2 linked regions of the Mus musculus genome follow. The protein of the gene in region 2 binds, or shares a complex with, the protein of the main gene of each other region. Links are inferred from orthologs where the notes say so. Each region holds a gene or a part of one and is shown on either strand. Other genes may lie near its edges.

Region 1 (4,391 bases), on a different chromosome or scaffold from region 2:
ACTGACTAGGGTAGGGAATGTCTACAGAAAGTGGGGGTGGAGGGTGGGGTGGGAAATCCCAGGGTTGGGAGTCCATCCGGGGATAGGATAGTTTAAAAGGACTGGGGCCATCACCCAGTCTGTAGTATGCTGGCTGAGCATGCTCACAAAAGTCCAAGTTTGATCCCTGCACTAAATAAAGGAGGCACAGTAGCCCGCACAAGTCCTAAAAGAGGTAGAGGAAAGATTAGGAACTCAAGACCAAGTGAAACCTGAGGCAAAAGGTGGCTCTAAGAAGCCAGTGTTCATTCTCTCCTGGTCTGAAGACTGGGAAGGGTTTGAGGAAAGAGCATCTGAAATGGTCTTCCAAGCCCTGGCAACCCCTGCAGAACCTCAGTGTCTCAGCACAGTTCCTGCTGTCTGTAACTACCCATCCATCCCGGAGTGCTTTAATGCCAACTTCTTCTTGTTCTGTAAAGATCCAAAGTGCCACCTCACTCAGTGCACATCACACTGCAATAAAAAAAGTTTGCTGAATGAACAGAAAGAGGCAGGCTGTTTATTATTAGGAGGAAAGTAAGGAACCATGTGTGGAATTGACAGAAACACCAAGAGCACAAGGCCAGACTGAGGCTTCATCCACACGGTGGGACTCTCTTAATGTCAATGAGGTCTTTAACCTGGAGACTGACTAGATGTATGGACTGTTGACATAACTGTCCAGGCAACCATTTGCCTAATTAGAATGGTGGATAGGCATGAGCCTGGGGTCACTCTATTAAATCCTGAACACCCACAGTATACTAGGCCTTCTGCCATCTCTCAGCTTGGTGGGAGATAATTTCAGTGTGTTTATAGAGACACAAAGTATCAGGGAAGACCTGGTGGCATTGAAGCTGGGTTTTTTGCTTGTTTTCTTTCTCTTTTAAAAAGATTTATTTATTTATATGAGTACATTGTAGCTGTCTTCAGACACACCAGAAGAGGGCATCAGATTCTATTATAGATGGTTGTGAGCCACCATGCGGTTGCTGGGAATTGAACTCAGGACCTTTGGAAGAGCAGTCAGTGCTTTTAACCACTGAGCCATGTCTCCTGCCCATTTCTCTTGTTTTTTTTTTTTTTTTTTTTTTTTTTTTTTTTTTTTTTTTTCCTGAGACAGGGTTTTCCCTGTAAAATAGCTCTGGCTGTCCTAGAACTCAGAGGACTCCACACACCTCTGCTTTCCAAGTGAGGGATTAAAGGCATGTGCCACCACGCCCGGCTTTGGGCTGGTTCTTAAAGGATAAGTTAGCAATTCAGAGAGCTGGAGGAAGAAAGCACCTGACAAAGGGCACAGCCAGAAGAGCTGAGGAGCAGGAGGAAGAACATGAGACTGGAAGAATAACACCGCATGGTCTCCTAAGTCCTTACATACTATTTTTTGGTTTGTTTTTGGACAGGATCTCACTATGTAGCTCTGGCAGGCCTGGAACATGCAATTTATTTTACACTGGCCTTGAACTCACAGAGACTGTAGGTAGCGGCATGTGTTTTTAATTCCAGAATTTGGGACGAAGAGAAGAATTTGAGTTAGGGGCACATACTGAGACTGTCTCAAAAACGGAGAACCACTAAACACATACACACACACCTTTTGAACCAGGAAGAAGACGGGCTCTATGTTGCATTAGCAGCTGATGGACCCATCCTCCTTCCTGAAAAACCCGAGGTCTGTAAATCCATCAAGAGGGGTAGAAATGTTTATCTGCATAGCCTCCTTAACTCAAAGACTCGTCATCAACCTACCAACTAGGTTGGAGGAAACAAAAGTCATCCTAGGAATCCGCCTAACAGTGCTGGGTCAAGGACTTTCGTATGCGGAACACCAAGTGCTAACCAACAGAAACAGTCCTCGGGAGAGGCACCAATGATGATGCTGGGAAGGAGGGGGTTCTACAGCGGACTGGGGCCTTCTAACTGGATGTATGGCCTTGGGTGGATCACTTCCTCCTTTGTACCTCATGTTCTCTAGACTTAAGAGTAAAGGAGCTGAGAATTCTGGGTGAACCAAGTCTCTCTGTAGCTTTGTATTCTCAAGAGCCCTCCAACTCTTTCCTGCCTTGGGCACGTGCTTCGTGAATACCAGAGTAAATGACGCCTGATCTCTCAATTTACAGGAGTGGAAACTAGGGCCTGGCGGGTTTGGCAGCTCAGACATAAGAAGCCAGTCAGTGCTGGGAGACCTTAGAGCAACAGATTGGTCTGGATTCTTCTGGGTTGCTGCTTACAGGTAACAACAGGTAGTGAGTGGTCCTCAACGTGGCTAGAAATGACGGAAGAAAGGAAGCTCTTTCATAGCGGGTCCCGGTTTCGTGACCTGATGTGGGTTCCTGGATCGAGTAACCTGTCTTAATTTTCCGTTTGATAAGACGTGGACAGTAAGGGAACCCGACATATAAAAATGGCTACGTTAAGTTTAAAAGCGTGCCTAGTACACAGAAGGCGCTCACTAAATGCTCCTGCCAGATGCACTTCAGCACGCCCACTCTAGCCCAAGCGGTAATTTTTCGGGATAGCTAAAAAGCCTGGGCGGGATAGAACCACGTGGGGAGTGCTAGGAGCGACGGTGTCTAATTCCTAACAGTCCCCGATTCCCAGCCAGAGACAACGTGCTCCACACTGGCCAGGCCCACGTGAGGCCCTCCGAGGCCCGGGTTCGGGCTTCACCTTGACCTTGGACCGGCCTCGTTCCTCACGGAGCCTCTGCCTCTCTCGTCTGGAAACCGCCGCGTGAGGCCCACTAAAGGGCCCACAGCCGCTCGGTGGAGACCACTTGATCGCGTGTCTCTCGCAGGCCCGTCCCGGCCGGTCTCCATGGCAGCGCCCGACTCACCTTCCTGCCGGCAGTAGGACATGGTTGTTCCCGACAGTCCTCTGCAGCTCGCAGAGGCAGCGGGCGCGGCTGGAGCGGATACACCTTCTCGCCGTGACCTCCCTCGCCGCTTCTCAGGCCTGGCGGGTGGCACTGAGGCCCGCACAGACCCGCCCCCTCCAGGCCTGCCCGCCGCGCGCCTGCCTCCGCGCGTCCTAAGCACCAGAACCGCTTCTCAGTCGAAAACTACACTGACCAGCAGCCCTTGCGCCTCTCCAACTAGACCGATACTACATTTCCCAGAAATCTTGCAGCGCGCACGCGCACCAGTGAAATACAGTGGTTTGTAATTTTGTGGCGAACGTGTCAGACGTCGGACTACATTTCCCAGCAGCCCTTAAGATGCGCACGCGCAGACAACTTGAGGCTTAGGCAGGGCGGTAACTTTTGTCCTGCGTCCCGCCAGGTCCTGGATTCCACGAGAAGTCTTGCAGCTCTGTGGCAGACAGGAGGTCACCGTATTCTGCGTTCCGGTCGTCAGCCCAATTCCTAGCGGAATAGAGCAAGACGGCGGCAGCGAACCAAGCCCACCATGGCAGCGAACGTAAGTGCTTCCTGATGCCCGGGTGACACCATCATCCGGGCCGCTTTTTCCCTGGATCCGCGCTGGGTCTTACAGGGGTGCTACCCCAGTGGGTGCAGCTGCCCTCAGCTCTCTGAGCTTCTCCATCTCGGGCTGCGCGTTTGTGGGCCTCAGCAATTAGTCGAGTCCGCTCGTGCACGGCTGCTTCTTCCACTCCTAGTTTCTCTCTGGGCCCCTGGGGATACGAAACTTGGGGAACTTGGGGAACTGAAGGACCACGGGGAAAGTGTCTATTGGTGAGCAGACTGATGAGGTGATCCTGCCCAGGTGGAACTGTCCAGCAAATGCTTCTTTGGTCTTCGCTCCCTAGGGGGTGTGTACTCAAAGGCTGTGTGATGCTACTGTAGCTGGACTAGCCTGGCTGGATGACGTGGAGAGGGAGACTTTTCTCTGCTGCCGGGTTCCTGGTGCACTGATTTGGTTAGAGCCCCTAGCTGAGGATAGTTCACCCAGACCTCTGGCCTCTTCCTACTGCAACTAGTCCTTAAGAATTTTCCTAGTGAATCTTAACATTCATTCAACAAACGGAGCAACACCACCTACTAGGGGACTGGGTGTGGGAGAAGCCGGTGAGTCACCAGTGCCTCTGGTGAAAGCGCCTCTGAAGCCATCTCAGGAGCACTGCCAGCCCCAGGCACACCCTTACTCCCTCCTTGGTAGAGTGTCACTACAGCCCTCCTTGGGCCTGTTACACCCTCTTCCCAGGCCCCTCCTCAGTCCGGCAGACTTCACCTCCTGGGAGGCCGGAGTTTGTTTCACCCACTGTGCAAGCAATATCTGTTTGGCATATTGTCTGGCCCTGGCAGGGGAAGAGAACCAAAGGTTAGGAATGCTGCACTGGAGCCAGAGGAGAAGGCAACCAGCAGGCCAGCCTGGCAAGAGCAGGCAGACCCCTTCTGATCCATCTCATCAGCG
Region 2 (4,429 bases):
CTAAGACAGAAGAAGGACCATGAGATCAAGATTATACTTAGCTACACAGTGAGTTGTAACAACTGGAATACATACCAAGATCTTGTCTCAAAGTATCAATGTGCCATTTGGCACTACCCACAATCTAGGATTCTAGGCCACCAAGAGCTCAGTTTCTTCTTTAAAGATGCAAAGATTCAAGACAAGCTATTGGTGACCACCTTTAATCCCAGCACTGAGAAGGCAGATCCAGGCAGACCTCCATGAGGCCAACCTGCTCTATACAGTGAGTTCCAGGACAATCAGAGCAGCATAATAGATTCTGTCTCCAAAAAAAGATACTATGATTCCAAAGAAAGAAAAATGTAAGTATTTGAACCTTAGGTCAGGGAGTTAAGTGATCAGTTTGATCACAATAGGCAGCATAATGTTTGGTGAATAAATAAAATATTATAGAACACAAAATATTTATTATCAACCCCTTCTGCTGCCCAGTAATAGATGCAGGCACAGAGTTGTGATTGAGTTACCCTTAATCATTTCTAGAAAGAGGCAGAAAATCCAAATAAAGCCGAACAGCAGGTATTGAGGTTTCAAGACAAAAAGCCAGGTGTGATGGAAATGAGCTTTACAATGGTGAGAAACGTAGATGACGCCGTTCTAATGCAGGCTTCAAGGTTTACTAAAACAAGAAAAATAAAAGCAAAGAAGAAAGACTGCTAACAACCTGGCAAAGCATTGGGGGAGGGGATAAAAGAGGGCAAAGTGGTACATAGACCTTGTCTCTTACCCACCTCTGTGAAAACATAGGGCAGATGCTGTTATGTGAAACTGAAATCAGATTAAAGGCAACTGGCAAATGAGCCATAAAACATTCATTCCTACAATGACATTACCATCATTTCTTTTGGAAACTGTATTCCCTACCCCCCACTCATTTTTAAAGCAGGTGATGTCATCCGCTGGTACATGGACAAAGAAGTGTGTGCAAAAAGATGGATGGGTATTGCAGGAAGTCCTGGTATTTTCTACAGGAGAGGCCTTCAACCGCAGCCATGCAGTGGGGAAAAGGCATTTCAGTCCTGTATTTTTCCACAGATCTAATGTTATAATCAAATGAATATTTAATTGATGAGAACATTTGGTTAGCCACCAGAATTCTGGTAAAAAGCTATGTATTTAGCAAAATAAGTGCACAATATTAGAAAGGGTAGTATCTTTGGGTTGTCTAAATTTTTAAATATTTCTCCACAATTTACATAGAGCACCAGTGCTTCCAAGTACAGAACTCACACAAATTAGAATTATATTCACTGGGTTTTTAGGAAAACTAGAGGTGGCTTTTTTTCTAAAACAGAAATTCTTAAGTTCCAAGAGGTAACTGGGATAACATTGACTTTTTTGAGATGGGCAACTATATAGCCGTGACTGACTTAGAGATTCCTATGTACACTAGGATGGCCTTGAATTCTCTGAGATCTGCTGCCTCTGCCTCCAGAGTCCTAGGATTAAAGTCATATGTCACCATACCCAGCAGATAACACCCATTAAGAATTTTTTCTTGACATGTACGAAGTGGACAAACTATCCAAACACATTTGCAAAGGTCCTAACAATCAAAAAGTATTTCCACTTCTTATTCCTAAACTACAGAAAAGGCATCTGAACTTCAAAAAAGACTCCAGGGTAACATTTGATATTATAAATGTAATTACACTAGGATGATGATTTTTTAAAATGTTGATTTAAAAATACACCTTGGAGATTGTGGAGGGGGGGCATTCATTCCCACAAATCTGTATAGGTAGAAAAGATGATGACTCAAACCATGCTCAGATAAACCCATGGATATCAGAAGCACAATGGGCTAATTAGTGGAAAGAGAAGCGAATTCATTCTTAACTGTTTCAGGTCAAACTTTAGGAAGTAGGATTGGCGTGTAGCAATAGGATCAGGGGCCTAGAGACTAGCAGAGTAGCTTTAGCTCTACCTACTAATTATGTGACCTTCTGCAAGTAATTTCACCTCTTTGTTCCTCAATTTATTATCCATAAAATGAATGGGTTGGTGTTGACCACAAAATTCCTTCCAGCTCTAAAGTTTGATGAGACAACTTCCCAGAGAACAAATAGAGGGGGATCGAAAAACGTTCATTGAAGCGTGTAAGCCCACCACCAGGAATTCAACTATCTGGCCATCTCAAGGCAATCTGAGCTAATTCTCTTGATATCTGACATACAGTTTCTACTGGTGATACACCATTGCCACGTCGTAGGACAATCAAATGTACAGCTCTCACGTGGAGTTTTGGGAGGTAAAGCAGATAATCTGAGTTCCAGGAGAAACTTGTGACTGTGTCCCAACCACTAAATGACAACATCCATCTGACCTCAATGCTTTAAAAAAGGCAAGGTGGCAGAGGATGGGCAATATGGTCTGTTATAGCCAAGCGTTCTGTTATCCCCAAATCGCAAAGCCTCCCAGAAGAAGGCCTCATGCTGATTTCTGGGGTTCAAATCTCTTGAAGGTCAGGCCGGCATAAGTATGCCTATTCCTCAGCTTGGAAACTCTTGGGTTTATATCCCGCCAATTTGGAGATTCTTGAGACTGTGAAAGAAAGTTCTTTTTTTTTGAAGGACAGGGGAGCTCTGCGAGGGATGGGGAGCCCATGGCACCTAGGCCATTGGACTTTGAAGTAGGATAAGGGGTTGCCTGGGACAGGTCAGCTAGTCACCTGGAAGCCGGTTCCTCTGTTTCGGCCTCTGGACGTACACCGTCCGCACCAAGGGCACCAGTTTCTGCTTGAAAGCACCCGCCAGGCCTCCACACCGGAACATTTCGGCGATCACTCCTCGGAAGCTCCCGCTCCTTCCTTTTCCTTCCACGCACCGTCGAACGGGTCGAATACCACGGGCTCGGGTCCGCTCCCCCTCCCGTCACACGCACACTACGCAGGCTCCTCCTCCCAGCCCCGAGTGGACATTGGATAGAGGAACCGGCCCACTAGAGCCAGGGGGAAAGGCACTGAGGCTGGAGACCCACTGCGCAGGCGTAAGACTCAGCACCGCACTGCAATTGGTCCCACAGCGAGGAGGTCGGCGCATGCGTCCGGCGGCACGCGCGCTGCAAAGCCCCGGGCCCCGCCTCCGCATTTGCAAGTTTCCCAGAGTTAGCGGCCCTGTAGTAGGTTGAGCCGCTTAAGAAACCTGGACAAGGGACACTCCTGCCCGGAGGCAGCGGGTGGGGCAGCCGCTGTGTAGGTAATGGGGACTGCTAGCAAAACGGTCACCAAAACTGACCTGAGAACTTTACTTTCTGGTTTGTTTTTTGTTTTTTGTTTTTTTTTTTTTGTGCGTTTTAGGCAACTAGCTAGCCGGCATTTAAGCCTTTCTGAATCTCTTTCTGTGATCCAATTCTAGTCTTTCCCCCAGTCTTAGTCATTACACCCGACTTCCTGAATCCTGAATAAATTCCATCCATGTTTTAAAACTAACTGGCCATTTCTTGAGCAGCCCGGTTTGTTCGTTTGTTTGTTTTTGGTTTCTTTTTTTTTTTTCGGAGGTGGGGGGGAGGCGGGATGGAGTGGGACGTGTACTTCACGTGTTATATCTCCGTTATCACTGTCATATGTATCAAGTGTTGTGGATAGTCTCGCGCTATTATGGCTTTCGTGCTTGAGAAGAGAAAGCTGACAAAAAAGTTTGTGCCTGACAAATTTTCTGTGAAAGAAATTCTAAGCAGGACTTAGAAAGTTGTGGGAGATACAGAGTGAGAACTGAGAGAAAGTAGATATTTTGCTCTCCTGTGGGAGTTTTGAATTGCAGATTAAGTATTTATGGAAACTGTGTGTAGTGGCCTAACACCTGAACTCCCAGACACAGAGGCAGAGACAGAGACAGACGGACAGCAAGGAAATTTGAGGCCAGCCTTGTTCATATCAAGCCTGCCAAGGCTTCCTGGTGAAGATGCCCTGTCCCTTATTATGGAACAGTACTATATAGAGGCTTCTGTGGATATAAAAACATGGAAAGTGATCACTGTAATGGGATCTATTGTCATTTAGATGATACCTATCACAGAGCCACTGCAAGGAAGGAGTTTGGGACAGAGTCACTAGTGGAAGAGAAAGAATAGTATTTCAGAGGGTAAATGCATTGAGGCCAAAAGTAATATTTTTAGGGTTTAAACATATTGACCTCCATAAACATATTTCTCCTCCATAAGGACCTAGGTTTAATCCTGCCTCTGCTACTTGGACAAGTCACCCAGTTGGCTTCAACTGACCTGGAGACAGTTGGACTTAAGGATGAAAAGCTATAAGCCGGGCATGGTGACAATACCTTTAGTCCCAGCACTCGGGAGGCAGAGGCAGGTGGAATTCTGAGTTCGAGGCCAGCCTAGTCTACAAAGTGAGTTCCAGGACAGCCAGGGCTACACAGAGAAACCCTCT

The links.
Region 1: the proteins of Aifm1 (region 2) and Chchd4 are in contact, whole or in part, in a cryo-EM structure (PDB 9GQZ), measured with the Homo sapiens proteins. The link is inferred for Mus musculus from reciprocal best matches to the Homo sapiens genes AIFM1 and CHCHD4. Residues at the interface, in NP_004199.1 of Homo sapiens: Pro345, Tyr347, Ser500, Ser501, Leu502, Pro503, Thr504, Val505, Gly506, Val507, Phe508, Ala509, Lys510, Glu558, Asp559, Tyr560, Asn602, Ala605, Lys606, Phe608, Asn609, Ile610, His611; in NP_001091972.1 of Homo sapiens: Arg5, Glu7, Lys9, Asp10, Arg11, Ile12, Ile13, Phe14, Val15, Thr16, Lys17, His20, Thr22, Pro23.

Annotation. Positions count from the first base shown.
Region 1 is NC_000072.6:91,470,462-91,474,852, forward strand, and holds the start of Chchd4 (mitochondrial intermembrane space import and assembly protein 40), read right to left. Parts: upstream 2,963-4,391; 5' UTR 2,877-2,962; coding exon 2,855-2,876; intron 1-2,854. Other genes in the region: Tmem43 (transmembrane protein 43), read left to right, coding at 3,426-3,437.
Region 2 is NC_000086.7:48,510,523-48,514,951, forward strand, and holds the start of Aifm1 (apoptosis-inducing factor 1, mitochondrial isoform 1 precursor), read right to left. Parts: upstream 3,042-4,429; 5' UTR 2,817-3,041; coding exon 2,714-2,816; intron 1-2,713. UniProt on the Homo sapiens protein: Functions both as NADH oxidoreductase and as regulator of apoptosis.